Macaca mulatta: one gene and its partners. The protein of the gene in region 5 purifies or fractionates together with the protein of the main gene of each other region. This does not show direct contact. Links are inferred from orthologs where the notes say so. Each region holds a gene or a part of one and is shown on either strand. Other genes may lie near its edges.

Evidence for each region.
Region 1: the proteins of SNRPF (region 5) and TGS1 purify together in Homo sapiens (co-immunoprecipitation; 3 studies listed by BioGRID and IntAct, counting the BioPlex papers as one, with this or other methods). This does not show direct contact. The link is inferred for Macaca mulatta from reciprocal best matches to the Homo sapiens genes SNRPF and TGS1.
Region 2: the proteins of SNRPF (region 5) and PRP4K purify together in Homo sapiens (co-immunoprecipitation; 3 studies listed by BioGRID and IntAct, with this or other methods). This does not show direct contact. The link is inferred for Macaca mulatta from reciprocal best matches to the Homo sapiens genes SNRPF and PRP4K.
Region 3: the proteins of SNRPF (region 5) and RBM22 purify together in Homo sapiens (co-immunoprecipitation; 3 studies listed by BioGRID and IntAct, counting the BioPlex papers as one, with this or other methods). This does not show direct contact. The link is inferred for Macaca mulatta from reciprocal best matches to the Homo sapiens genes SNRPF and RBM22.
Region 4: the proteins of SNRPF (region 5) and CDC40 purify together in Homo sapiens (co-immunoprecipitation; 3 studies listed by BioGRID and IntAct, counting the BioPlex papers as one, with this or other methods). This does not show direct contact. The link is inferred for Macaca mulatta from reciprocal best matches to the Homo sapiens genes SNRPF and CDC40.
Region 6: the proteins of SNRPF (region 5) and RNPC3 purify together in Homo sapiens (co-immunoprecipitation; 3 studies listed by BioGRID and IntAct, counting the BioPlex papers as one, with this or other methods). This does not show direct contact. The link is inferred for Macaca mulatta from reciprocal best matches to the Homo sapiens genes SNRPF and RNPC3.
Region 7: the proteins of SNRPF (region 5) and DDX23 purify together in Homo sapiens (co-immunoprecipitation; 3 studies listed by BioGRID and IntAct, counting the BioPlex papers as one, with this or other methods). This does not show direct contact. The link is inferred for Macaca mulatta from reciprocal best matches to the Homo sapiens genes SNRPF and DDX23.

The regions. Positions count from the first base shown.
Region 1 is NC_133413.1:66,444,101-66,447,975, reverse strand, and holds part of TGS1 (trimethylguanosine synthase), read right to left. Parts: intron 1,643-3,875; coding exon 1,493-1,642; intron 1-1,492. UniProt on the Homo sapiens protein: Catalyzes the 2 serial methylation steps for the conversion of the 7-monomethylguanosine (m(7)G) caps of snRNAs and snoRNAs to a 2,2,7-trimethylguanosine (m(2,2,7)G) cap structure.
Region 2 is NC_133409.1:179,185,825-179,189,699, reverse strand, and holds part of PRP4K (serine/threonine-protein kinase PRP4 homolog), read left to right. Parts: intron 1-703; coding exon 704-857; intron 858-3,875. UniProt on the Homo sapiens protein: Serine/threonine kinase involved in spliceosomal assembly as well as mitosis and signaling regulation. Connects chromatin mediated regulation of transcription and pre-mRNA splicing.
Region 3 is NC_133411.1:159,661,352-159,665,226, forward strand, and holds part of RBM22 (pre-mRNA-splicing factor RBM22), read right to left. Parts: intron 2,185-3,875; coding exon 2,084-2,184; intron 1,999-2,083; coding exon 1,826-1,998; intron 1,000-1,825; coding exon 799-999; intron 1-798. UniProt on the Homo sapiens protein: Required for pre-mRNA splicing as component of the activated spliceosome. Involved in the first step of pre-mRNA splicing.
Region 4 is NC_133409.1:15,228,236-15,232,773, reverse strand, and holds the start of CDC40 (pre-mRNA-processing factor 17), read right to left. Parts: upstream 2,880-4,538; 5' UTR 2,862-2,879; coding exon 2,673-2,861; intron 1-2,672. UniProt on the Homo sapiens protein: Required for pre-mRNA splicing as component of the activated spliceosome. Plays an important role in embryonic brain development; this function does not require proline isomerization.
Region 5 is NC_133416.1:103,187,300-103,191,358, reverse strand, and holds the start of SNRPF (small nuclear ribonucleoprotein F), read right to left. Parts: upstream 2,801-4,059; 5' UTR 2,679-2,800; coding exon 2,676-2,678; intron 700-2,675; coding exon 574-699; intron 1-573. UniProt on the Homo sapiens protein: Plays a role in pre-mRNA splicing as a core component of the spliceosomal U1, U2, U4 and U5 small nuclear ribonucleoproteins (snRNPs), the building blocks of the spliceosome.
Region 6 is NC_133406.1:136,788,810-136,792,684, forward strand, and holds part of RNPC3 (RNA-binding region-containing protein 3), read right to left. Parts: intron 3,514-3,875; coding exon 3,381-3,513; intron 2,738-3,380; coding exon 2,675-2,737; 3' UTR 2,670-2,674; intron 1,173-2,669; 3' UTR 1-1,172. UniProt on the Homo sapiens protein: Participates in pre-mRNA U12-dependent splicing, performed by the minor spliceosome which removes U12-type introns. U12-type introns comprises less than 1% of all non-coding sequences. Binds to the 3'-stem-loop of m(7)G-capped U12 snRNA.
Region 7 is NC_133416.1:55,993,780-55,997,654, forward strand, and holds part of DDX23 (probable ATP-dependent RNA helicase DDX23), read right to left. Parts: intron 3,734-3,875; coding exon 3,590-3,733; intron 3,491-3,589; coding exon 3,265-3,490; intron 2,963-3,264; coding exon 2,817-2,962; intron 1,164-2,816; coding exon 986-1,163; intron 176-985; coding exon 1-175. UniProt on the Homo sapiens protein: Involved in pre-mRNA splicing and its phosphorylated form (by SRPK2) is required for spliceosomal B complex formation.

The DNA of each region.
Region 1 (3,875 bases), on a different chromosome or scaffold from region 5:
CAGAAAAAGCAGGAGCTGATAGCAAAAGGCAACAGGGCTGCAGAAGAATAGGAAGAGCAGAGCTCTCATCATTTTCAGAAATGAGCTCTTGTGTCCATTCTAGAGGAAACAGAATACTGACCTCCTTCTTTCCTAGTAGGAAAAATTCACATTTTTTCAGAAAGACATTTATCTGAACAAAATTATGTGCTGGGCTGGGTGTAGTGGATCACTTGAGCCCAGGAAACATGGCAAAACCCTGTCTCTACAAAAAATTAGCCAAGCATGATAGTGCTTGCTTGTAATCCCAGCTACTTAGGAGGCTGAAGCATGAGGATTGCTTTAGCCTGGGAGGTGGAGGTTGCAGTGAGCCGAGATTGTGCCACTGTACTCCAGCCTGGGTGACAGAGTGAGACCCTGTCTCAAAAATAAATAAATAAATAAATAAATAAAAATAAAAATAAAATAAAAGAAAAAGAAATAAATAAAAATAATGTGTGTTAATTTTTCCTGTTGCCTCCCCTTACCAAACTTTAAATGGCTCTTCGATACTGGAAAAATAAGAATATACACTTTTATATAATTGCAAGTGTTTTCCACTCTTACTTCTCCTTATAAATTCCTATGTACTTCTTCTTCCAATACACAGCATTTTGCAAATTGTTTTAAAAGGGTTGGAGAACCCCTGAAATTCCATCATAGATCAAGAACTTCTGATTTTGATAGTTAATAAAAACCAATATTGAGGTAACCCCAACATGAAAATGAGCATCAGTCTGCAAGACTGAGTTAAGTAAGTTGTTGCAGATCACGGCAGGAAAGTTGGAGAAAGAATTCAAAACTTGCAAAGTTAATTAATTAAATTGTGTCTTTCTGCACTAGGTATTTCTTGATCAGGTTTTCCATTTAATAACTTATCAATCGCTTTTGCTATCTATCCTAAGGTGCTACAAATACAGATTAAACCCAAATCTGAAGTTTTAAAAATACACACACACATATATATACCCAAATTGAAGGACATTCTATAAAATAAATGGCCATTGATCCTTTGAAAAATGTTAGTCATGAAAGACAAAAAAGGCTAAGGAAAGATTCCAGATTAAAGGAAACTAAAGAACATGAAAAATACATGCAATAAATGATCCTATACTGGAAGGAAAAAAAAATGTGATAAAGGACAAGATTAGGACAATTGATGAAACTAGAGTATAAACTGTAGATTATAATATTGGAACAATGTTAAATTGATAATTTACTGTTTTAAACAACAATATACTTGTTCTTAGGAAATATATGCTAAAGTATTAAGGAGTATGGGCATGAAAGTACTGATCAGAAAAAGATACACACACATACAAATGGAGACAGAATGAGAACGTAAATGGGGCAAAATGTTGAAAATAGCTGAATCTGGGAAAGGGGATATGAACATTCCTTGTATTATTCTTACAACTTTCTGTAAATTTTAAATGGTTTCAAAATAAAGCTAAAAAATACATATATACTTTACCTCTGTCCAACTTAATCCCATCATCAAAACGGGAGAAGAGCCTGTACCTCTGGGCCCAGTATTTTGCCAGCTCAGGAACAGCAGCTATTTCAGGAGGCAGACCATTCACCTTTTTGTTCTTCTTCTTGTTCTTCTTCTTTTTAACTTCAGCTAAAATAATAAAGAATATAGATGCTAAGAAAAAATTAGTATCACAGATGAGTTTATCTAAAAATGAAGCCACACCAAATAATTACAAGCAGAAGATGTATATAATGACACGCCCAGAGAAATAGGAAAGCCTGATGGAAATGCCATTGGTTTCAATCACTGCCAGCACTTTGCTACTCATTGGCTTTGTAAGCTTGGAAAAGTAACCGAGGCTCTTTAAGCTCCAATTATTAATTCCTATAAAAGGAATGAATGGGCAGAGCGCAGTGGCTCACATCTGTAATCCCAGCACTTTGGGAGGCCGAGGCAGGCGGATCACCTGAGGTCAGGAGTTTGAGACCAGCCTGACCAACATGGTGAAACCCCATCTCTACTGAAAAAATAAAAAAAATAAAAAAACTTAGCCTGGCACGGTGGCAGGCGCCTGTAATCCCAGCTACTTGGGAGGCTGAGGCAGAAGAATCGCTTGAACCTGGGAGGCGGATATTGCAGTGAGCTGAGAACTGAGAATGTGCCATTGTACTCCAGCCTGGGTGACAGAGCAAGACTCTGTCTCCAAAAAAAAAAAGAAAAAAGAAAAAAGAATGAATTAGTTAGTGAGTAGTATTTAACCAACTTAATTCACAGCAATGATAGGAAATATGTAGAAATACTGCTATAGACATAAAAGTTATTACTTCTGTTAGCCAAGATACTGCTTTATGTGGTGAATTACAGAATCTAAACATTTCCTTTCTATCAAGGACTAGATTAGGCTCTAACTCTCAGCCACATCAAAGTCACCTGGCATCTGAGAACCTGAAACAAGGGTCACCAGCTCTATTCCATAGAAAACGATCTCATTCATTCAGAGACTGATTTTTTCCTTAATTAATTTTTATCAGTTTGGTTATTTGGTTTCAGTCCTCAGCAAATTAGAAGCAACAACATAGACAGATGAGACTCTTTTTCAGAGTTAAGTATAAAAACAAGAGGTGATGGCTAACAAAGAATAAGACTCCATTACACACTCAAATGGTCCTCAAGGATTGGGCTATGTCCTAATACATTTATCTTATCATTGTAAATAGTAAAAAGTGTCATCATGAGTCAGTAAGGTCAGATCTTCCCATCCCCAAAAGTGTCACCAATAGCAAAGTACGGTGATTATTTCTCAACAGGGAGTATAATGACATTGTGGGTGGAATAATTCTTTATTGTGCAAGACCATCTTGTACATGACCTAACATTAAGTAACTGAGTACTAAATGCCAGAATTTCTAATGTCATTCTAACAACCAGCATCTTCCAAATGCCTCTATGAAGGTGGTACTACCCCAGGTAAGAACAACCAACATCATGAGAACTGGTGTTCATGGAAGTGGGGTAGTGCAGGAAAATGGGACTTAGCAATCGGAGAAAGCTGGTAATGAGTCCTAGCTATGCCACTTACTTGGGTTAATTTTTATATTTCTCTCAGCTTTTCTTTCTGTATTTCCAGAAGGGAAAATAATTCCACCTACTTCCTTGGGCTACCTTACAGATTAAATGAGAATAAGGCACATAAAAGCATTTCAGAAACCTACAAATGTCATATGAACATCAGTTATTATAACATTGATAATAAAAGAAATGTAAACTACTATAGGTATGCTGTTTAGAATGTAAAGAAATAAGTGATAGATCAGAGATACACACGCAACCACACTTGCACTAAGAAAAAAAAAAAACAAGACTCAAGTTTTTTTCCATAGTAATAAATTAAGAAAAATGATGATCACAATAAATATAATGTTTCATAATACCATTATTAAACTATATAAGAGCTTTTGTTATAAAAATTCTAATACAAAAGTGCATAAATTGAAGATATTACTCAGTTCATTCATTAGAGCCAACTACTCTGAATACTTTTTAAATTAATGTGCCATCAAAAACACATGACCATCATCAACCACACACACAAAATAAAAAAATATCAAAAAGAAAACAGTCCGAGCATGATGGCTCATATCTGTAATTCCAGCACTTTTGGAGGCAAAGGTGGGAGGATTGCTTGAACCTCTGGCAACCAGCCTGAGCAATATAGTGAGACCCTGGATCTCTACAAAAAAAATTAAAACATTAGGCAGGCATGGTGGTATGTGCATGTAGTCCCAGCTACTCAAGCTGAGGTGGGAGGACTGCTTGAGCCCTGGGGGTCAAGGCGTAGTGAGCTGTGATCGCACCACTGCACTCTACCCTGGGTGACAGA
Region 2 (3,875 bases), on a different chromosome or scaffold from region 5:
GCCTGGAGTACAGTGGTGCAGTCTCGGCTCACTGCAACCTCCGCCTCCCGAGTTCAAGTGATTCTCGTGCCTCAGCCACCCAAATAGCTGGGATTACAGGTGCACACCACTACACCGGGCTAATTTTTGTATTTTTAGTACAGACAGGGTTTCACCATCTTGGCCCGGCTGGTCTTGAACTCCTGACCTCAATTGATCTGCCCACCTTGCCCTCCCAGAGTGTTGGTGTTACAGATGTGAGCCATCGTAATCCCAGCTAGTCTTTTGAATCATGAATCTACAAACGTTAGTTGACTATACTGTACACCAGGCACTACTCTCATGGAGCCCATAGGTCAACAGAGAGAGTCTCTTAAAATGAAATATTTCAAGGAATTTTTATCTTCAACAGTATGGCTTTGTTGTGTTTTCAAATGTGAATCTATTCTGAAATCGAAATGGGAGTTTTACCTTGCCTATCTTTCTTCCTACTTATTTAGAAAATTGAATTTATTGGGAAACTGTGTTATATACATACAATTTGATACGCTCTCTTTTCAGTATAAAATAATTTATCAAATGTGGGGACGGTTCTTAGGTATTTTTATTGTTTGTATTCTGCACTTGATTGTACTTTACGCTTGCAAATGTTTTTGCCTTTTTATATTTCCATTTTGCATTTTAACTCCTATTTTGTTTTTTGTGTTTTATTTTCTCCTAAAAGTATGAACTTACGAGAGGTGTTAAAAAAATATGGTAAAGATGTTGGTCTTCATATTAAAGCTGTAAGATCCTATAGTCAGCAGTTGTTCCTGGCATTGAAACTCCTTAAAAGATGCAACATCCTACATGCAGATATCAAGCCAGACAATATCCTGGTAAGTCAAACAGTCAAGCTGCACTGTGCATCTTATACATATCTTAATAGCAATATGATTATTATGAGAAATGACAGAAGCATAGTTCAGTATATTAATCACCTATTTCAAGTGACTAATAATTTTTATCTTTCTTGGAAATCGGACAGTGAAATTTTATTGACAAGTATGAAGAAAAAGGAAATGTGCAGTTGTCCGTTTTTTCTCTTTTGATTGATGGATTTAAAGGATGCACCAATCCTGGAATTCTTTAATGTAGTAATAATGAGTTTCTTCTGTTATCTTAAAAAAATGCTGCACATGTTGCTGTTTTGAAATAAAGAGTGTTCCTGCTCTTCTGTTTGCTAATTTTATAGCTCCCCAAGCTGTGGCTCCTGGGGGCCCAAACACAATAAAGCTCAGTTGTGGTTAGGTATTCTATTTAAAGGCATCGCTTTTGAAGTTTTTTTATTTTATTTTTAAACTTTTAAGTTCAGGGTTACGTGTGCAGGCTTGTTACACAGGTAAACTTGTGTCATGGAGGGTTTGTAGCCATTTTTCCTGATTCTCCCACCTCTCACCCTCCAGCCTCTGACGGACCCCAGTGTGTATCGTTCCCCTGTGTGTCCGTGTGTTCTCACCTTTTGCAATCTTCATCCTCTTCCACTAATGACCTCTGGTGGTGATGTGCAGATTCCACAATGTATATGTTTTTGAAATTTTGAAATACATACATATTATAGTGATGGGATTAATGTACACACACACACTCCTCCCCTCCCCGGCCCCATTACTTCACCCTCTTTTGTGGCCTTCAGTTTGGGTCGTGTTCACAAATTGGAGAATTCCAGCTTATCTTCTGGTAACATTCTGCATTTCATTTTTTTAAAATGGGTTCTTTTTATCAACTCTCCTACAGTTGATGCCTAGGAGAGATCCTGAAGGGTGTTCTTTATTGGGAACTGTTGGAGCTATAACAAAATAAATACTTTTTATTTTTTCTTTTGTTTTGTTTTGAGGCAAGGTCTTGTTCTGACACCCAGGCTAGAGTGCAGTGATGCCATAGTGGCTCACTGTAACCTCGAACTCCTAGGCCCAAGCAGGTCTCCTGCCTCAGCCTCCCCAGTAGCTGGGACTGCCCACAGGCATATGCTACTACGACTGCCTAATTTAAAAAAATTTTTTTAGAGATGAGTTCTTGCTGTATTGTCCTGGCTGGTCTCAAACCCCTGGGCTCAAGCAGTCCTCCTGCTGCAGCCTCCCAAAGTGCTGGGATTATAGGTGTGAGCTACCATACTTGGCCAAAATAAATTCTTTAAAAAATGGTGATCTCATTGAAGTTTAAGGACTTTTTATCAATAACTAAGCTCTTCATATTTCTCTTTTTCTTTTTTCTTAATATCTTAAAATATTTCCTTCCAGACAGCCACATTAGTAGTGAGGTGCATTCCATTTTTATATTTGGTCTGAATTATTATTGTATTGTATATCTAATGTAACTTGGAGTTAAGGGAGCTGAGTAATTACATTGAAATGGTAAGTGCATTAAAAATGAATTGTAAATTTGTGTGGCCAATTTCATAGTTGATTTTTACCTCAATTTTTTTTTTCTTTTTTTATGAGACGGAATCTCACTCTGTCACCAGGCTGGAGTGCAGTGGCGCGATCTTGGCTCACTGCAACCTCCGACTCCCTGGTTCAAGCGATTCTCATGCCTCAGCCTCCCGAGTAGCTGGGATTACAGGCAGATGCCACCACGCCCAGCTAGTTTTTGTATTTTAGTAGAGACAGTTTCACCATGTTGGCCGGGATGGTCTTGATTTCCTTAACCTCGTGATCTGCCCGCCTTGGCCTCCCAAAGTGCCAGGATTACAAGCGTGAGCCACCATGCCTGGCCGATTTTTCGTTTTTTAATTGTGAAATACATGGTTCATGTCAAAGAATATACAAAACATGTACAATTTAAAAGGTCATTTACAGTGAGCATCTTTGTAACCATTGTGGAGGTTAAAGAATAACACATTTGCCAGTGTCATAGAAGAAGCTCTTGTTTTTAAAAGCTAATGCTAAACTAGTATAGGTTTTCACATACATTTAAGAAATGTTTTCCCTTTTTCCTGGGGAAGGGAAAAATAGACCTCAGTGACGGAGCTGATTTTTGTTAATGGAAGTCCAAAGCCTTTAGCTCGTGATTTCAGGCATCAGTGTGGTTTTTAAGTACCACATTCCTCATGGCAGGAGTAGAAGTTGTGTAGCAAACTGAAGTGCATATGAGTATGGATACCCTGCTGTTATTTAAGGCATTTTAGCCAGCCCAAGAGTTCCACTGATAAGATTCTAATTTTAAAATGTTTAAGTTTTCTGTGGGTATTGAAACTGCTTAAGTAGCTGAATTCAACTTATACTTTAAAAAGTTTTAAAAGAACTTTTCTATTTTAAGTTGCTTTTCTGATTCCCAAGACGAAAAGAATGGTAATCAATGTGGGAGTTAAAAATAATCATTTCTGTTCCTATTAATAGCTTAACTCTGGGTATCATTTATAATAGTCCAGTCTCCCCACAGAGACTGCCTAAGGCTAAAGTGTTATGCTGCTTTGGGGTGGGAGCAGTAGGCCAAGTTCAAGTCCCAACTCGGAATTTGTGTGTGTCTCTTTTGAAGGGGGGAAGGGACTCTGGAATATGAATTATCTTCACTTGTTAATCCTGAACATGCTTCTGACTCATGAGTGGCAGCAGTCATGGGAGCAACTCCAGCCTTTCTCAGCAGATGTCACTATTACTGTGTATGTTGAAGTATTTACAAAGGAAAAAAGAAACAAATGACTAATATAGAGTTCGTGTTTATCAGTTTTGCCAGATGTATTTAACATTTTCTTGACTAATACCTTCTTTATATTTAAGGGCTAATATTTTTTAGACTTGAAGTGATTGCTAAATTTGGGATGATATAGCAGCTTCGGATGAAGAATGTTTTGTTTTTGTCCAAGTTTAATTTGAATCACCCTTCTGCTTTCATTGCCATCGTAATTCTCTGGCAAC
Region 3 (3,875 bases), on a different chromosome or scaffold from region 5:
GACAGGCTACCAAGGGCAGGTTATAAACTTACAGGAGTTTCTTCTCCACTTTATCTCTTTGGAAGAGGTAATTTCCATTACTATCTGCCCAGATGTCTCATCTAGCCAAGCATAATACAAGCCAAAAATAATACAAATGTATCAAATGCCAGTCTCTTTAAAAAGCCAACAATTTAAACCATAAGAGTTTTATCATCACAAAGCTCTCCCTCCTCTACATAATTAATCATACTTGGATGCGTGCCATCCTTTAAAACCTGGCTGTTAGGTCAAATAGAATTCTGTGTCATTATTACCATACGCCAGGATGGATAAGCACTTTTTGTGCTTTGGTTTTGAGATAGGGTCTCACTCTGTTGCTTAAGCTAGAGTGCAGTGGCGCAATCACAGCTCACTGTAGCCTTGATCTCCCAAGCTCAAGCCATCCTCCTGCCTCAGTCTCCCAAACAGCTGGGACTACAGGCACAAGCCACCACACCCGGCTAATTTTTTTGATTTGTTAAGAGGGATGGGGTCTCACTATGTTGCTCAGGTTGGTCTCAAACTCCTCAGCTCAAGAGATCCTCCCAAAGTGTTGAGATTACAGGCATGAGGCACTGTGCCCAGCCAGATAAGCACATTATTACTGTGGCACCATAAAGGACAATTTTACAAAAATTCCAGTCAGCATGATACTAACAGTAGAGAGACTAAAGAAAAATGGATTTTGTACAGAATGATCATCCTTGCAGTTTTTGCAAATAAATTATCCCAGGGCAGTTAAAGGCAAAAATAACTCTTTAACTTATACCCACAAACCTTAAATCTGTCTCAGTAATGGTATCACCTAGACCACCAACATATAGTGTAGTGATAGTTTTATCCTCTGGTGGGTCCAGCCGAGGCATTGTTGAAGCCCGCTTTAGAAGCTTGTCAGCTACAGGATCATTGATTCCGTAATATCGATCTTTAATATTCTGATCAGCAAGGGGGTCATCTGGATCTGTAGGCTTCTCATGTCTATGATTCAAGAAAAAAACAAGGCATAAAGGTGAAACAAAGGTGAAAAAATGGTATCTTCCAAGAATAGCTACATATTAAAGTCCTAGATACACATTCTGAAGTGCCTTTTGAACTAGAAACTATGGTTTCTACCAAAATACAATTACCAAAATAGACCTAATACCAAGAGATTTACTGTATGACAAAAGGAATTCCTAGCCTCCTAAAAGCCATTAGGCCATCTAGGATGCCAAACTTTCCTTATAAATAAAAACTCTTGACATGATCCGCCCCCTCCTGCCCCCTAGAAAGGGACACATGATTACCCCTCTCTAGGTCAATGATTCTTAACACATTTGGGGTATTGTATTCCACTGAGAATCTGATTAAAGCTATGGACCTAGCTCCAGAGAAAGCACATATATTATTTTTTAGGGGGTAGGGTTAACTAATCCCAAATTTAAGAACTCCTAATACAGATGCTTGGCAGTCTTAACCAAAACATACACACCCTTTAGTAGTCTGACCTTACTTTGACTTCAACTATACATTGAGAGTCAAGTGTTTAAATCATGGCAGTGAAGATGTACTTCTCAGGTAGAAATGTTTAAGGCCAGCATCCATATTGTATGGCATAGCAATTTAGTTTCCAAGGCTCAATTGTAAGTAAAAACTACAATTTATTCATGCTCTTCTAAATTTCATAGTTCTAAGACATCAGATACACCACATTGGTTGTATGACCTTTAGATTTTAAAGCAGAAACAGTTTAAGCTAGCACCTCCCATTTCTTAGATGAGAAATCATCTGAAAGCAAATACTGAAAATGAGGCTCGGCTCTTGCCTGTATGGACATTCCTCTCCTCTCTTACACTCTCCTTTCACCCAGAAGGAGCAAATGTGGGGTCGATTCCTTTTGTAGTAGGGTGTGGTCCGGGCCAGTTTGAGCAGCATGTCACTGGTAGATGTGGCTTTCCCCAGCATGCCAACTGGTCGTGTTCCATCAGAGTTAGAAATCTAAGTGAGGATGACAAATTCAAAAGATAAATTATACAGACTGTGTCAATTCATTAGGATTTTTACCCAAAAAGTGGCAGCATACCTCTCTCTCCATATTCTGTGTATAGTACTCTTTGTTGACATCTGACTTTGGCATGTCATCTTTAAAAGATAATCCTGCGTCACGAACCTGGATGGGCAGGCCTGGTACAAAAAAAGAGGAGAGAGACCTCAGATGTATTTTAAAACATATCCATACTAACCATGCACACAGAATACATCACCTTTCCCTTCCCCTCCTTCCTATTTAGTACCAGAGACCTTACTATGTTTCTATTCAAACTCTTTAGCACCATCAGGTTACTTCTGCTACACAGCATGCTAAGAAATTGTCCAAATTCCTGAGCTGTCAGGAAATTTGATGAAATCAATGTTTTAGAAAACCTTTTAGGCTGGGTGTGGTGGCTCAGGCCTGTAATACTAGCACTCTGGAAGGCTGGGGCTGACGAACAGCTTGAGTCCAGGAGTTCAAGACCAGTCTGGTCAACATAGTGAAGCCCCATTTCTACAAAAAATACAAAAATTAGCTGGGTGTGGTGGTGTGCACCTGTAGTCCTAGCTACTCAGGAGGCTGAGGTGGATCACCTGAACTTGGAAAGGTTAAGACTGCAGTGAGCTGTGATCATGCCACTGCACTCCAGCCTGGGCAACAGTGAGACCCTGTCTCAAAAACAAAAACAAAAAAATTATAAAAGAAAATTTTTAGATGAATAAACTGTGCCCATGGTCATATTCAACTTGTAAATTAGTAACGCACCTACTTTTTATTACAACATGATTTACCTAAAGTAAATGTAAAAGTGGTTTCTTTGGTTAGTCCTACAGATCATCTGGATAGTCACAGTCATGTAAGGGTCACTGTACTCCAGGACCAGACACCTCCTTAACAAACATATAAATAATATTACATAAAATGTGGCCAGAACTCTAACTAGAAGAGTAACTCTAATGAACTTAACATACATAAACTCATATATATTTTCCCTTTCCTTTAATAGTAGAAACTCTTGTTGAAAAATTATCTTTCTGAAAAACAGTCACCTACTGTTTAGAAAAAAAAAATACTCCCAAAAGCAGTTACTCTGAAACAGTAGCAATGTATCAGTTCTCACAACACAATTGAGACAAAAGTCTAAAGCACAATTAGGCTGGCTGTGGTGGCTCTGGGAGGCCAAGGTGGGAGGACTGCTTGAGGCCAGGAGTTCAAAACCAGCCTGGGCAAAATAGTGACACACACACACACACACACGTGCACTGGGTGTGGTGGTATACCAGGAGGCAGAGGCAGAGGCATACCAGGAGGCAGAAGGCGTGAGCCCAGGAGTTCAAAGTTGTAGTGAGCTGTGATCACACCACTGTACTCTAGCCTGGGTGACAAAGTGAGACCCCAACTCAAAAAATAAAATAAAATAAAGCACAATTACCCTGTGAGCTTCTGGTTGGCATGGTGGAAAAAAGCTCTGGATCAAGAAAGAAGCCTAAGGCAAATAAATTATCTGTCATAGGATCAATGCCTTTTACCTCACTTGGGCTGCAGAGATAAAGGTTTAGGCCACTTTTTTTTTTTTTTTTGAGACGGAGTCTTGCTCTGTCACCCAGGCTGGGGTGCAGTGGCCGGATCTCAGCTTACTGCAAGCTCCGCCTCCCAGGTTTACGCCATTCTCCTGCCTTAGCCTCCCGAGTAGCTGGGACTACAGGCGCCCGCCACCTCGCCCTGCTAGTTTTTTGTATTTTTTAGTAGAGATGGGGCTTCACCGTGTTAGCCAGGATGGTTTCGATCTCCTGACCTCGCGATCCGCCCGTCTCGGCCTCCCAAAGTGCTGGGATTACAGGCT
Region 4 (4,538 bases), on a different chromosome or scaffold from region 5:
CTTACCAAATATACTTCCGTAATCTTGTGTACTAGGCACCGGAGACACAAACGAACGGATACGTCTCTGGACCCCAGGGTCTCACAGTCCAGGGCAAAGAAAAAGATGAACAAGTCACGGCAATGTGCTAAGTGCTATAGTTAAGATATGATAAAGGGGCTAAGGTAGAATAGGAGGAAACGCGCAGTGAGACTGAAGGACCATAGTGTTTGGAATGGGGGAAGGAGGCACTAGGCAAGGGATTTCCAGGCAGAAAGACTAGCGTGGGCAAAATCTTCAGAGGAAGAAAGAAAATTTGGCTTTCAGGGCTTTGTAAAGAGTTCAGCATGGGAGAATAGCAGCCCTCACATGCTACCAAAAAAACTTAGAAATTACCCACTGGACAATACGGTGTCTTTGGGCAGGGAAGTGATAGGACGCAAGTGGAATTTACAAAGATCATTCTAGGTGCCCTGTGGAGAAAAGAATGGGGTATAACACTGGGAGACAAGAAAGGAAGAAGTAGAAATATCAGTTAGAAAGCTACAACTGTCTGAAGAGAAATGATGAGAATCTGAACTAAGCAGTGGCAGCAGAAGAGAGAGATTTGATGAATATCATTGAGTTAAAGTAGACAGGACCCACTATCCAAAAGAAGAGGCTGAAAGAGAAAGAAAAGAATAACTCCTGGGAGAAATAAGGAAGATATGAAGCCTGCACCAGTGAAAATAGTGAGGAAGGAGTTGATATGAGATAAATTAATGAAACAGAAATGTTAGAATCAATTGAATGACTAGCTTCAGGGGCTGAGGAAGAAGGAAGAGAAAAGGATACCTCCTTTGTTCTTGGCTTGAACTAGTGGGTGGATCGTGGGATCATAGATCAAAATGGGGAAAACAGAAATGGATTTTGAGGGAAAGAAAATAATTTTTCAACACACTGAACTGGAGGTGGCTGAGTGCCAACCTGCAAGAAACAAATGTACAATTACAGTGGGAGATTTTTATATACCTCTCAAGGTTGTAAGCTAGCAAGGAGGATAGAACTGGAAATAAAAGGATAGCAAACATGTGGCACTGTTAAAAGGGCTTTACATCTTTTATGGCAATTCTTATAATTCTGTTAGATCGGTACTACTGTTATTCCTACTTTACAGATCAGTAAAAATTAGGTGCTGAGCATTTAAGCAGCTTATCCAAGGTCCCCAGGTGGGTAAGTGCTGGAGGCAGGATTTGAATTACAGTCTTAATTCCAGAGCCTGTGCTAACCATTTCACGGTGTTCACCTTGAGCTAGGGGCAGCACAGACTGAGGTTGAAGGTATGGAAGAATATGTGGAATGCAAAGAGGACCAAGAGCAGAGTCCTAGGAAACACCAGTATTGAAAAGAGTAAAATAATTGGAACAGAATGCTGAGTAGAGCCCCATGGAAGCGAAACGGAGAGAAAGTTTCAAGAAAGAGGAACTAATGAACAGTGTCATTTGATGCAGACATTTAAGTCAGATGGCTGAACCTGACAACTGCAAGGCCTGGGACATCACTCACAGACAGTTTCCCAAGAGGGTAGGGCCAGACTGCATCGGGTTGAGGAGAAAATGAGATGAAGACAAAAAGAGAGCTCCAAAAAGCTGAGCTGTGAAAGGAGAAGACTCAGGAGGTTACTGGAGGGGCGTAAGTTTGGAAAGTTTTGTTTTGATAGGAAGTTAGGATTCTAAGCATTCTTTCATGCCAGATGCCCATTTTTAAAAAGTAAAATTCACAGACAGCTTGTTAAAAATCTGTAAAACACTCCTTAAGTCATTAAACTAGACTTGGGGACATGATACAAAGGAATTTTTGGACACCGCCTCCCATCTTCACATCTTGAGCTGATCACCTACCTCGGGCTCTACTGGGCCTACACTATCAATTGGTAGATGCTCTCATCAGGCTCTAGACACATCAGCTTTTCCTCAGTTCTTCAAACACACTAAGCTCTTTGCCTTCTCAGGCTTGCCTGTCACCTTTGCCTGGAAACTCTTGCCTGAATCAGCTTCCTCCATTGAGATCATGCAGCTGTTTCTCAAATCCAAGGCCTTTTTCTCACTGTATTAACATACATAATCATAAAACATTTACTGCACTCTCACTAGTTACCAGGCTCTGTGCTATATGCTTTATTTGTGTAATTTCACTCAATTTTCACACTCATCTTCTCATGTAGACAGGTGTTTTGAAAATGATCTCCGCTTGTACAGGTGAGGAAAGAGAGGAGGCTGCATAACTTGCCCAAGTTCACATAAGTGGTGGTGCCAGGATTAGAACCTAGTTTTTCAAAAATAAAACAAATCGAGGCCACTGCTCACTTCAAGTGAAGGTACAATACTCTAGTTTGGGAAGTCCTGATCTAATTTTATTTATGTTCCGAGATTACATCTGCACTTTACAGGCTATGTCCCTAATTCACAAATTCAAATTTCACCCCCTCTTTCCACTTGCTTTCTGATGGCGGGAGGTAAGGGCAGAGAGCATCGGGGGGCTATTCCGAACTTCCAATTCTGCTTCTCCCGAGGATGCATGTGGGAAGGAGAAGAAATTCAAACGTTAGCAACTTATCTCTGAGCAATGAGGTAAGCCGGGACCTAACAAGCGGCTGGCAGTTTTGGAGCTGAAGCCAACAATTCCCACACCGCATCAGTAGCAAAGGTGCTTACCTTAACTGCCACCTCCGGAGCCGAGTCCACTGCCACTGCTAGAGACGGCTTGGCTGAAGGCGATTTAGTCAAGTGCATGAGGGAGTCGGCGGCTGGCAGCGGACATCGACTGCTCTCACTGTCCGAGTCCGATTCGGACCCTGAACCCGAACCGTAGGAAGCGGCCAGAGCTGCAATCGCAGCCGACATGACGGCAACAAATCTTCTGCGGGGACCCTGTCAGGGCGGAAGAAGAGGAGGCTCCCAGGTCCTGACAGATTGCCATGGAACACATCATTAACTTTCTTTGCTAAGAAATAATTTCTTACATTTTAAAACAACAAGCTAATTATTATTAGAATAACTACTGTCGAAATGAGAGCTTAAAAAAGTTTATCTAGGGAAAAAGAGAGAATTATAATAGCTTATAACTTTCAGGACCTAGTTGACTAAAGAATACGAGTTCCAAAATACCTTGAGGCCTCGCGGTCCTGCACTCCCAGCGTGCAGCGCGGCAGGAAGCACCAGAGGGCACAATGGGAAGTGTAGTTTGGAACGAGGGGGCGGGACGGGGGCGGGTCCCTCCTTGACCCCGCCCCCGAATGGATGTTCCATTCAATTGGCTGTCATCTTCCCTCATTCCCTAGCCAAGCACTGTTCTCTCCGTCCCCCTCCCCCAAACTGAGGATTGGGCAATACCACAGAACCTCAGGAAAGGGGGGAAGAGCGAGCTTCGGCCCCACCGATGGAGGAGTGGGCCGAGGCTGGGTTTCCCACCTCGACTGCACCTGGGCACTCGAGGGTGAAGAGGAAAGTGAGAATCTGAAGTTTTGAGACCTCTGACTGGCCGGGAATAGCTCCTGGGGCACGGGGCAAGGATGGGACCATAGCCGGAGAGAGTCCCGCGGTCCCCCCTGCTTCTGGCGCGGGTCCCTGCGTCCGGTTGTGGAGCGTCTCGCGCGGGGAGGGGGCGGGGGGAGCGGCAGCTCGCGGTGTTGTTCACTCGCGCGTCGAGCACACGGTGGGTCCGGCGGCCGGTGGGCGCCCCAGGCGGCGTTCCCAGTGGCCTGGCGCCTCGGCCGCTGTCCTGAGCGGGTTCCGCCCCAGAGCCCGACCCTCCTGGGAGCCCTAGGTGGAGTCCCGCGAGCCGAGGGGGACCGGCGACCGCTGCCGAAGCATGAAGAAGGGGTAAGCGAGAGCCCCCAAGATTTCACGGTGAGCGCGAGTCCCTGAGGAATTGCTTTTTTCGGGGAGGGGGTGCTGGGAGAGGAACTCTTCCTCACCGGCCGGAGCAGACCGAGGGGTGTGTGGCCCGCATAGGTGACGGGGATGGATGGGCGCGCCTCCCCCGCCCCGGCCCCCACCCCCATCCGCGGGTTTCCCGAGCGCCCACCGCCCACCCGCCAGCCGGGCTGGGTGCAGAGGGAGACGGCGGCGGGCGCGCCCGGGGTTCGGCTGCAGGGACCGCCCCGGGGCTGCTTTCGCCGGAGAGACTGCGGGTCTCACCTGAGGTGCCACCGCCCGGGCTTCCCTGCCCACCCGCGCCCACGGTCCGCCCCGTGCCTCTTTCCGGGGGAGGCGGTAGCCCCGGGCGACAGAGAAACCTCTGCTCGCTCTACGTGCCTGGAGCTTAGTAAAGCCGGCTCGTGCGTTTGCGTGTTTGCTCCGCGAGTCGGTGTCTAAAGACATAACGGTAAAAAAGCGAGTGCAGGCATCCTTTTCTTGGTTGGAAGGGTAGGCGAAGCAGTGCCGTCGCTTCTGGTGCCCGTTCGTGGGGGCTGCCTCGGGCAGAGTTAGGGAGCCGCTCACTCAGCGCTCATGTCGGCAGGACTCGCCCATTGTGCCACCCAGATAATTATTCAACTATGCAGCATCCATTGCACCTTT
Region 5 (4,059 bases):
TTAAAAATGGTTAGAGTGGCAAAATTGTAATGTATATTTTACCACAATAAAAAGAAAATTAATTACAAAAAAAACCCCACCAAAACACATGGCTGAATCATTTACAGAAACTCATTTGACAGACATACAGTCAGTTCAATTTCTTCGGCAGATGTGTCTTTCCCCTGAAGGAATGAATTTCCTCAATAACTTTGGTGTTGTGCCTTTAGCATCATTCATTAAAAGACTCATGAATTTCACTTGAAAACTTTCTTTCAGGGCTAAATGATGAGAAATGTTTTGTTTTCTCCAGCAAAGTAGTGTGTTTCCCTTACAGTATTATTATGAATTAAATGTCTGAGCTCTTCTTACTTTAACTACTAGGAATAAAATCTGTGGCTGAATTCTGGTTTAAGTCCATGTCTTGTACCTAGTATATCATAGTATCCTCCCTGGCTTTGACTTTATTTTTTAATTTTGCCGTACATTTGTCAATTTAATTGTATGTATTCTTATTAGTCAGACTAAACCTTTGAGCAATAAGGTGAAGCAAACTAAATGCAATGTTATGACCTTTACAGCTCTTTAGCTTACCTGCATGTTCATGTAGCCATCTACAGATACCAGATAGCCCTTGTACTCCATTCCCCACTTAAGTTTCACCATCACTGGCTTTCCTGTTAGTCCATTGAGGAAAGGTTTGGGATTGAGGGGTAAACTCTGCACAAAGAACAAAAAAGGATCCAATTAATTATTTTTCCTCCCACCACCAACTCTCTTCTACTAAATACCAATATTTTGTGGTATGCAAATGAAGAAAACTCTTGACTCATTATTTTAGTACACAATTTTCACTTTCATTTATTGGAGAGTACCAGGGAAATTTAAATATCCAGTTAGCCAGTATCACCTTTAACCCATCAAAACAAAATACTCACTATTCACTTAAGATAACACCGACTACATACATCACTTACTGTTCTGAGCTCTAAAGAAACAAAGATAAAGGCACTTAAAAAAAAAAAAAATGCGGGCCAGAAAGGGTGGCTCATATCTGTAATTCCAGCATTCTGGAAGGCCAAGGCAGGGGGATCACTTGAGGCCAGAATTTCAAGACCAGCCCAGGCAACATAGTGAGACCACCTTCTCTACCAAAAATAGTCAGATGTGGTGGTGCACACCTGTAGTCCCGGCTACTAGGGAACAGAGCAAGACCTTGTCATAAATAAATAACAGAGTCCCTGTCAAGAAGTTGGAGATGGGGAGGGGGGCTCCTCACATACAAATAATTATACTGCATATTGCAACATAATAAGAGGAGATATACTAGGCACAAGGGTACCGAAGCAATCCAGGGAAAAAAGGAAAGGTTGCCTGAAATAAGTTAACCTCAGTTTTAAAGAATGAGAATTTATTTCCAGAGCGGGAAAAAATCCTGTTCCAGGCAAGGCTAGCTACTTATGTAAAAGGAGGGAAGAGTGAAGCAACAAGGTGATTTTGGGGACATACAATTCAGCATTGTCAGTCAAAGTCCCAAATATAAGACTACAGAAGGAAGCAGAGGGCAGATGACGCTTGACAGTCTTTAACTGTGGAAGCTAGGGCTAGGTCCTAAATGACTTTGTCACTAGCACTGCCTCTTATAGCAATCACTTAAAGTTTGCTCAGCAAACCATTAACATCTCCAGTGAATTCGGTTTTTGCCTTTTTCTGCTCACTCACCAGTCAAAGAAAGAACAGAACTAAGAAACTTGGCTACTAACCCCCTCTAACATAAACATATTCGGAGTGACTTGATGCGGCGATTACTCCAATAACCTAATGGGTCTCCAGTTTTCATTCTCCAATTTATTATCCACCACAGCAACATGATTTTTTAAAGTGCACATCAAATTGTCATATTTCTGCTTAAAATGATTCAATGGCTTCCAACTCAATCATTTTCAATTGATTTGGAGTACAATCAAAACCTCCCAATACAGCCTAAGAGGTCCTGTCCAACGCCTGCTCCTCCGACACCATCTCGTAACCACTCTTCCTGCAAGTGGCTGTACCTTTTTGTCAATTTCTCCAACTGACCAAGCTTTCTTTCCGGCCGCAGGTCTTATGCGCCTATTCTCTGTGCTCGGTACACTCCTCCTCCTGCTCTTTAAAGGGTCTATTTCATGACACTTAGGCTTCAGGTTAAATTCCACCTCCTAGGGAGGCCATCTCTGACTAAGCCTCTAAATGTCTAACGCGCACCCTCACAGCCTCCTGTCTGCATTCTTCTTAGCACTTATTACTTGCAATTGCATATTTGTTATTTTTTGACTGTCTGTCTTCCCCAACCGAGTTAAACTAGAGCATGGCCGTATCATTACTTTCATGCAATGAAAGTGAATTTTGGAGTGTGGTTAAGTGGGAAGTGCAAATTCTCTTTGAGTTTTACCCCGACCCTGTAGCCACAAATAAGAATATCCCAAGCCCGGATTCAAACAAAGAGGAGAAGGCACGGGCACTCCTAGAAAAAGAAAGGCATCGGGAGGAGCACGCGCCTCAGAAATCCTAAAAGCAGAGTGAAAGAAGCTGGCGACCGGGTGCGCGGCGCCTCACGCGGATGAATGGGAAACGCGCGAAGCAACCACTAGGCCCCGCGAGGTGGTCTCCCTCCTTCTCTTTCTCCCCGCTTCTCCCGCCGTTCTCGTTCTCCTTACCATCGTAACCACGGCCGAATATTGCAGGCTACTCACTGCCGACCAGGCTGCCGCTTGTCCCTCGTGACTACAGCAGGTACCCCAGGTCCCGAGCCGCTGAATTTCAAGAAAAATGGCCGCCAAACAGGAGTGTGACCTTTCACCTCCCACCACGGCCCTTCCTGCCTCTGTGATTGGACGAAAAGAGATGCGCGCTGATTGGAGGAGATGGTTGGACCAGTATCTCCTGGCAACCAGCAGCGGCTTGAGTTTGCGCCTGGCCGGCTGCGCGCGGGTCTTGGGAAACCCGCTCTGAGGAGCAAGGTGAGGCAGCCAAGGACTGGAGGCAGGCCGGTGTTGTAAATGTGCGGTCTGGGAGAGGCTGTGTGACGGATGTGACTTCTCCCCAACTTGGTTAATGGGGATTTTACTTTGTCTTTTTACACCCGTGAGAATGTTCAGGATCCCAGAGTTCCTTCCTCACTCTTCCAACAGGTTCCATGATTTGGGGGCGCCTCTGCCGCAGGCCGTTTCTACCTGAGTATTCTCTCTTCTGCAACACCCATTTCAACCCCTTTTAAAGGAATTCGGGGGTAGCCAGACAAGACTAGGGGCGGTGAAACGCACCGAAGGGAGTCGGATACAGAATTTATTTTAAACGAGGTCAGGTTGTGTCTGGGATACGGTGTCATGTCCCCCCACCCCCCACGACCCCGCCGGCCCCATCTTTCTTTTGCATCGCCAGCAGAGACTGGCACGGCCTTCTTACGTGCATTTGAAATTACCTAAGGGCGTAAGCAATATTTCCGCTGTCACGGATTAAAACTTTCGACGTAACGGTGTTATCTGAATCTCACTGGTTTTTGTCGTAATCCTAGTGAGTTCGGCTCACTCTGATCTGAAATGCTAAATGCAGTTCTTGGAGAACACGCCCTTTGGGAAGTAACGCTTTTTTGCGGCCCTGAAGAGATGGATTTGAGGTTGAGGATGAAATGTTGGTTGTTGAGGCACTGTGGAGCAGTGGGCAAGACTTTGGAGAGGGCCTGCATTCGGAACCTGCGTCTATCAGGCGCAGCCGGTGTTGGGCAGTGTCTTAACCCTCAGGGCCACTGTTTCCACGGCAGGAACGCGGCTTTAAAAACGGAACCATCCTCAGCGTGGTTGCGAGAATTTAACCTAAAACGGGGCTTGGCCTTGTAAAAGCTCAGTGTTTCACATAAGTGTTGAACACTGACAAGACAGTCATTGTCAGTGTAGTTTTTACCAAACAGTTATTAGATTTATTCACCCTAAACTTAAGTGGATTTCTTCCTTAGTTTGTATATTGTTTCATGAACTTTAAGTCTTTGTACAGACTTTGAGTTCCTACTATGTGTCAGGCTCTTTCAACAATTGTGGAAATCTT
Region 6 (3,875 bases), on a different chromosome or scaffold from region 5:
CTTAAATCAAAATTCTGACCAAGGGAACCAGGCATCAATATATTTCTTAATTTTTTTTTTTTTTTTTTTTTTTTAAGGAGGGAGAGGGTCTCACTCTGTCACCAGGTTAGAATGCAGTGGTGTGATCATGGCTCACTGCAACCTCAACCTCTGGGGCTCAAGTGATCCTCTTGCCTCAGCCTCCCAAGTAGCTGAGACCAGAGGTGGAAGCCACCACACTCGGCTACTTTTTGTATCTTTTTGTAGGGACAGGGTCTCCCTACATTGCCCAGGCTGGTCTCAAACTCCTGGGCTCAAGTCATTCTCCCATTTTGGACTTGCAAAGTGCTGGGATTACAAGTATGAACCACTGCACCCTTTTAAAATTAGTATTTCATTCAAGTTCCAGATCACTGTAATGTGCAGCCAAGACTGGGAACCACTGTTCTTGGCGATTATGGTCATCAACCAGTCGGGAAACCACTATTCCTATATACCTGCCAAGACTGTTTTTGACTTAATGCACTACCCTTAGTCGGCATTATGTGTTCTCCCCTCTATTACACTTTTCTTCCCTTGTTTAGAAAAAGAAAGGGGAAAGAAGAAAGATACTTCTATTGCTATCTATGTCAAAAGAGACTCACTTAAGACTTTAAATGAGAGGTCTGCTACTCTTTAGAATTTACATAGTAATCCAGACATCTTAATTTTCAATATAAGTACTTTTTAAAAGAAAAACATGTCCTTTGCCCAATTAAATTTTAAACATATTATAAATACCTAAACCAGATACATTATACAACGGAAAGCATGTTATTGAATTAAGTTTAGGAAATATACAAATAGAAGAAACAAGACTGTATTCTGAGTTAAAGTAAATAAACACATTCTCTAAGTAAGTTGACCTGATTCACTAACTTTCCCTCAAAAAATTATATAACCTAAAGGACAGCACAGAAAATTCAACAACAAATCTAAAAACACATAAAAGATTTTTCAATCTATACAAACAATTTTAGAAATATTTCATTTGAATAAAGTGTAAAAAAGTATTGCTTAACCTGGATCAACAGGTGGGGGAAGGACAAACATTTCTAAGAAAAAAATAAAAAAACACTGCCCCAAAAAGGATACGACAAGAAAGGATACACTTTGCATGACAGTATTACAGCAGTATTTACGCAGGAATGCTTCTAAAGAAGAACAGCAGAATGCAGTTTAATTTTTTTTTCTTATTTTTCAGCACCAGATTTACAAATAAATGATTTTTAAAAATACAGACTGAAATCCATCTTTCCTCTAAAGTGTTTATAAGACTTGTGACTACCCAGTATAGACATACAACACAATTCAAATATTCAAGCCATCTCAGAGGGACTAAACATTAAACAAAATTTTCTCTTATTTATTCATATTTGTCAATTAAACACCAATTGTGATTGTGACCAATTTACTTTATGTTCTTTTAGTTTACAGAGGAAGAAAAATTTAAATAAAAAACAAAGGAATATATTTCCACTTATTTCTTGAACAATGTAGCAAACATTAACATTTAAAATGCTTAATTCTACCATACTTAATCATCAAATTAAGTATGCACTAAAATTACTTGTTTTAAAGACAAAAAAAAGATGTAAGTCCACAAACATGTATTGTTGTGAAGTGTGTTAATAGTTTTATATACTCAGCACTGTTGAAAAATTTTTTTTTTTTTTTTTTTTAGTTGGAGTCTTGCTCTGTCGCCAGGGTAGAGTGCAGTGGTGTGATCCCGGCTCACTGCAACCTCCGCCTCCCAGGTTCAAGAGATTCTCCTGCTTTAGCAGCTCATGTAGCTGAGACTACAGGTATGCACCACCACACCCAGCTAATTTTTGTATTTTTAGTAGAGACGCGGTTTCACCATGTTGGCCAGGATGGTCTTGATCTCTGGACCTTGTGATCTGCCCACCTCCACTTCCCAAATTGCTGAGATTACAAAGGTGAGCCACCACCCTCAGCCAGAATTATTTTTAGTAACAGTTTGACTTTTTTTTTTTTTTAACTTTTTTTTTTTAACATTTATTCTAGGTTAATTTTAAGAGTTAGAAAATGTATCTGTAAGTGTTTATCCAAGGAGTTTTCAAGCTGTGGTCTCTGGATCAGATGCCTCATGATTACCTGAAAACTCATTAATTTTGTAAATTTTCAGGTGCCAACAAGGGTGACCAACTCGTCCTGGCTTGCCAGACACATTCCCCATTTCGGCACTAAATGTCCGGCTTCCTGGAAATCCCCTCATTAAAAGGAAAACTGGTATAACTAGCTTCCCTAGGTCCCCACATCAGACCTACCAAATCAAAAACTCTTTCAGGGAAGGAAAGAACCTACATAATTGTGTTTTATTAAGCTCTCCAAGTGATTATGATACATATTAGAGTTTAAGAACTATTGATTTACTATAGGCCGAAAAATTAAAAAAAAAGTAACTGGCACACTCCCCTTATAAGATTCATTCTCCAAACTTAACTTTTACATATAAATGGGTTTTAATCTGTAGTTATAGCTTTGAAGTTTAATGGGACTTAACTGCACAGATAGATATTTCCTTAAAAAATACATAAGAGATACCCGAATTACTACTCTATCAAACTTTTATTCTTAATTGTATCTAAAGAATTTGTCTTGTCTTATTACATTTTATTCACACTTACCTTTATTAATTTTTAACTCTTTTTCCTTCCTTAGGATGTTGTTTTGGTCTAGCAGATCGAGCAAACTGCTAATAATTTAAAATTAAGGTTTCCTTCATGAATATGCAAGTAATCTTTTCTAAATAATTCTCAAAAACGTTCTAATGTATGGTGAGAGTATGGTTTTTTAATTTACCTTGAGTGTCTCCTGACTCCATGACTTAAGAGGAAATTAATAATTAACTTTTCCTTTATAGTCATTATTTTTTATACCTGGGCCTTTGCTTCTTTACCTATCTTGCTGATTTCTAGTTTGCAAACTGCATTGATTACTAAAAGCAAGATGGTTCATCAATGATATACTCCGGTTATTAAAATTCTCATGTAGAAATATAAATTACAATAAAATGATAAAATGAATTAGTTCTTTTATGACTCCAAATGTACTTCTGGATACTCTAGTCTCTTCGCATAACTGTGTACTTTTGAGCTGCATAAGTGAAACACTTAAAACTTGGCTAAAATTGAACAACTTCATGCTGCTGAAGCTCCTTTACTAAAAATCTAAATAACACTGTCATTTGACTCAGTAAGGTGGGTTTAACTGTAACTGAATGAATATCTACTGCTAGAATGCCAATTGTGGAAATTTCTAAAGGGTAACATGAAAATTTATTTCAGTTATACCCTTCTAAAAATTATAGTTTTGAAATAGATGGATTTAAAGGATACAACCACCATGGGTTTTCCAAAAAGCACATATCCGTTAGCTTCCTTTAAGGCTTTTGTTGCTGCTTTTTCATTAGGAAGTCCAATGAAAGCTTGTCCTTTCATACGACCTTCTTTCATCAAACGTATATCAAACCTAGAAGGAAGAAAAGAGCTTTGATTCAAAGAATGTTAGTTTCAATGATGTGAATGAAAATGTGTTGGACAATTTAAAATGTTACTATTTCAAATAAAAGTGACTGAAACATTTGATAGGCACGTCAATTATTCAGTTTTCTAAAAATGTATTTCATGTTCTTGCACTAAAACTGATTCTACAAGTAGGTAGTATTTAAGATGTTTTTAACTATTCTCAACTATCATAAAAGTATGTGATTTAAAAATTATGCTACTAGTAATAAGAAAAGCAAACTTCCCTTTTTTTTTTTTTGAGACGGAGTCTCGTTCTGTCACCCAGGTTGGAGTGCAGTGGTGCAATCTCGGCTCACTGCAAGCTCC
Region 7 (3,875 bases), about 47 Mb from region 5:
TGTCTGGCTTCTGGTTGCTGACAGGCATGTGCTCCAGGATCTTCTGGACATCTGGCTCAAAGCCCATGTCAATCATCCTATCTGCCTCATCCAGAACCACATAAGTACAGCGGCTCAGCACCAGGTAGCGGTTCTCCAGCACATCAATCAAACGCCCAGGGGTAGCGATCACAATCTGAGTAGTACAGTATAATCACTTACAGCCCAGCAGGTGCCCCTTCTTTTCTTTCCTGTGAACTATCCACCCACTTGGGTGACAGACCTCCAATGCTGAGGAACTTGGACCCCAACCTCTGGTTATGTTTAGCAGTAAAGGCTCCTGCAAACCAGCATGAAATCACTTGTTGCCTGGATTTTCTCAGGAACGAATGAGGTCTCTGAGTAAGATGCAGGGATTAGACAGAGGAGGCAAAATCAGTAGAAACTTTTTTTTTTTTTGGCAAATCATTTCAGATCCTGAAGAAGCAACTTTCTTAGATGGGAGAGACTAAGGGATACCATGAAGGGGGTTGTATAAAGACTAAATTAAAAAAAAAAAAAAGTAAAAACTCTAAATTTCTACAGCAGATTTCTCATAAAAAGCTCTCCTCCACTTTCCTGAGATGAACGCAATGCACAAAGTCAAAGATTTGGTCTGGCAGAGTAAAGAGTAACTAAAAGCACAGGCTATGGATAAGAATCTCAGCTCTGCCCATTGCCAGCTGTTTGTGACTTCAGGCAGTTATTAACCTGAACCTCAGCCTGATCTATAACAAGGAAATATCACTACCTACTCTCACACATTATTGTGAGAATTAATGAGCTAATATATATGATATATACTATTTGTAATATAAACTTTGGTGCATAAGTTCTCAATAAATAGCACATACATATAAACCAGCTCCTTTCTTCATTCTACTGCACATCTATTCCAGAAACTAGAAACAAAGCCCCAAGATAGCCTTCCCAGACAGCAGGCTGGCTGCTAGATAGAAAAACAAACCTCACAACCCATGCGCAGCCTGAAGCCTTGGTCTTCTCTGGAGATGCCACCAATGACAGCCACAGTGCGGATACCTAGCGGCTTCCCAAACTTGATGGTCTCTTCCTCAATCTGTTGAGCCAACTCACGGGTGGGAGCCAGGATGATGGCATAAGGGCCTTGGTCTGACTCTTCGATTCTGTGGTAAATGGGGCATCCCACAGCTTCGTGAGCTTTGGTTCTTATCCAACCACAAGCCAGAGCAAGACAAAGTCACTCTTAGGGGAAGCGATGGGAATGGGGAGGATGATGAGAAAAGAATGAAATGATCTCACTCAAAAATCAGAGGCCAGGGCTGGGCGCTATGGCTCACACCTGTAATCCCAGAACTGTGGGAGGCTGAGGCAGGCGGATCACCTGAGGTCAGGAGTTTGAGACCACCCTGGCCAACATGGTGAAACTCTGCCTCTAATAAAAATACAAAAATTAGCCAGGGGTGGTGGCCGGCGCCTGTAATACCAGCTACTCGGGAGGCTGAGGCAGGAGAATTGCTTGAACCCAGGAGATGGAGGTTGCAGTGAGCTGAGATCGTGCCACTGTACTCCAGCCTGACAGAGACACTCTGTCTCAAAAAAAAAAAAAAAAAAAAAAAAAAAAAAGTAAGTCCAGAGGCCAGGCAAAATGGTACAAGCCTATAATCCCAGCACTTTGGGAGGCTGAGGTGGGTGAATCACTTGAGCCCAGGAGTTTGAGACCAGCCTAGGCAACATGGTAAAACTCTGTTTCTACAAAAAATACAAAAATTAGCTGGGCATGTTGGAACACACCTGTAATCCCAGCTACTTGGGAGGCTGAGGTGGGAGGATCTGCGCCTGGGAGGCAACGGTTGCAGTAAGCCAAGATCACACCACTGCACTCCAGCCTGGTCAACAAAGCGTGACTCCATCTCAAAAAAACAAAAATAAATAAATAATAAATAAATAAATAAATAAAAATCAGAGATTCGGCCAGGTGCAGTGGTTCACGCCTGTAATCCCAGCACTTTGGGAGGCCAAGGCAGGCAGATCACTTGAAATCAGGAGTTTGAGACCAACCTGGCCAACATGGTGAAACCTCATCTCTACTAAAAATACAAAAATTAAGGACGGGCGCAGTGGCTCATGCCCGTAATCCCAACACTTTGGGAGGCTGAGGCAGGCGGATCACCTGAGGTCAGGAGTTAAGAGACCAGCCTGAACAACATGTAGACCCCGTCTCTACTAAAAATACAAAAAAATTAGCCGGGCGTGGTGACGGGTGCCTATAATTCCAGCTACTCAGGAGGCTGAGGGAGGAGAATCACTTGAACCTGGGAGGAGGAGGTTGCAGTGAGCCGAGACTGCGCCACTGCACTCCAGCCTGGGCAACAAGAGCAAAACTCCATCTCAAAAAAACAAAACAAAACAAAAAAACAAAAGTTAGCTGGGTGTGGTGGCACATGCCTGTAATTCCCAGCTACTCAGGAGGATGAGGCAGGAAAATCACCTGAACCTGGGAGGCAGAAGTTGCAGTGAGCCGAGATCGTGCCACTGCACTCCAGCCTGGGTGACAGAGTGAGACTCTGTCTCAAAAAAATAAATATAATAAAATAAAAAAATAAAAATCAGAGACTCCAGGATAGCAAAGTTCTCCAGGTCTTTGCCAGCAACATATAATTCTTTGATATCATGATCCAATTATTCCCTAATATCGAACCAAGAATAAAGAAGCAAGCTTCCGATTATAGACGTGAAACAAAAAACACACATTCTTTTGCCACTTTCACCTTTCCTACCCAGACAAACCCACTCCAGCTGGTGCCAGCTGACCCCACCTGTCAATTTTGGGAAGTGTGGTGATCCAGACCAGCAGTGGGATGAGGAAGGCTGCTGTCTTGCCGCTGCCAGTCTCAGCCACACCAATGATGTCACGATTCTGTAGCCCAATGGGAATTGCCTGACGCTGGATAGGTGTTGGTTCCTGCAGTGACCCCGAGAAAGAGTAATAGGTACAGGCAGAATTATACAACCTGGGCTACCACTGATAGTAGTAAGCATATCTGCTAGTGCAATGGAAGGATGCCAAGTACAGTGCACAGAAATGGGGACCCCAAGAAGAAACATAATCACTAAAAGCTGACGCTTCTACCAGAAAGTGACAGAAAAGGTCACATTGGTACCCAATAGCAGGGATGGCTCCAAATAGTCAAGGAACAAAGTTCTCTATTCCCAAACTAGTGCAGGAACATTTCAGATCTTTTGGGCCAATCTACCCCTCCTTACCTTATAGCCACACTTATCAATGACTTCCAAGATGTGTGGGGGCAGAGAAGAGTCTTTCCAGGATCGGATGGGATTGGGGATCTTGCCACCTTTGGTGGTGATGCTGTAGTCCTCACGGAAGATCCGCCAGTCCCTGTCCGTCATCTCATCTAACTTTTTCTGAGACCAATGACGATCATCCCAGCGCTGCTTGGCTTCCTTCTTACGAAGTTTACGGAGTCTTGCCCTGGAGCAGGATGTGAGGAGTAAGTAGAATCAGTGCCCTCCAACTCCTTTCTGTAGAGTCTCTGGGCTCTGTCCAGCCACCCTAGCCTTGATCACTCACTCCTCCTGCTCCTTTTCTTCCAGGGTTCGCCTTTTCTCCATTAGGTCTCCATAGAAACGTGACTGCTCTCGTTTCTGCTGCTTGAGGTCAATGCCTGCAATGAAGCCTCGCCCTAACAACTGCACCTGGTGCCGTTCTTTATACCTGGGATTGAGACAGAGGAAAAGAAAAAAGAAGCAGCTGTTATGGCAGTAGGAGGGAAGGGCAGACTACTAATATGAAACAGTTCCTCCTGGACAGGGTCTTTCTTCCACCAGAGGGCTGGCTGACTACCAGTCTACCAATT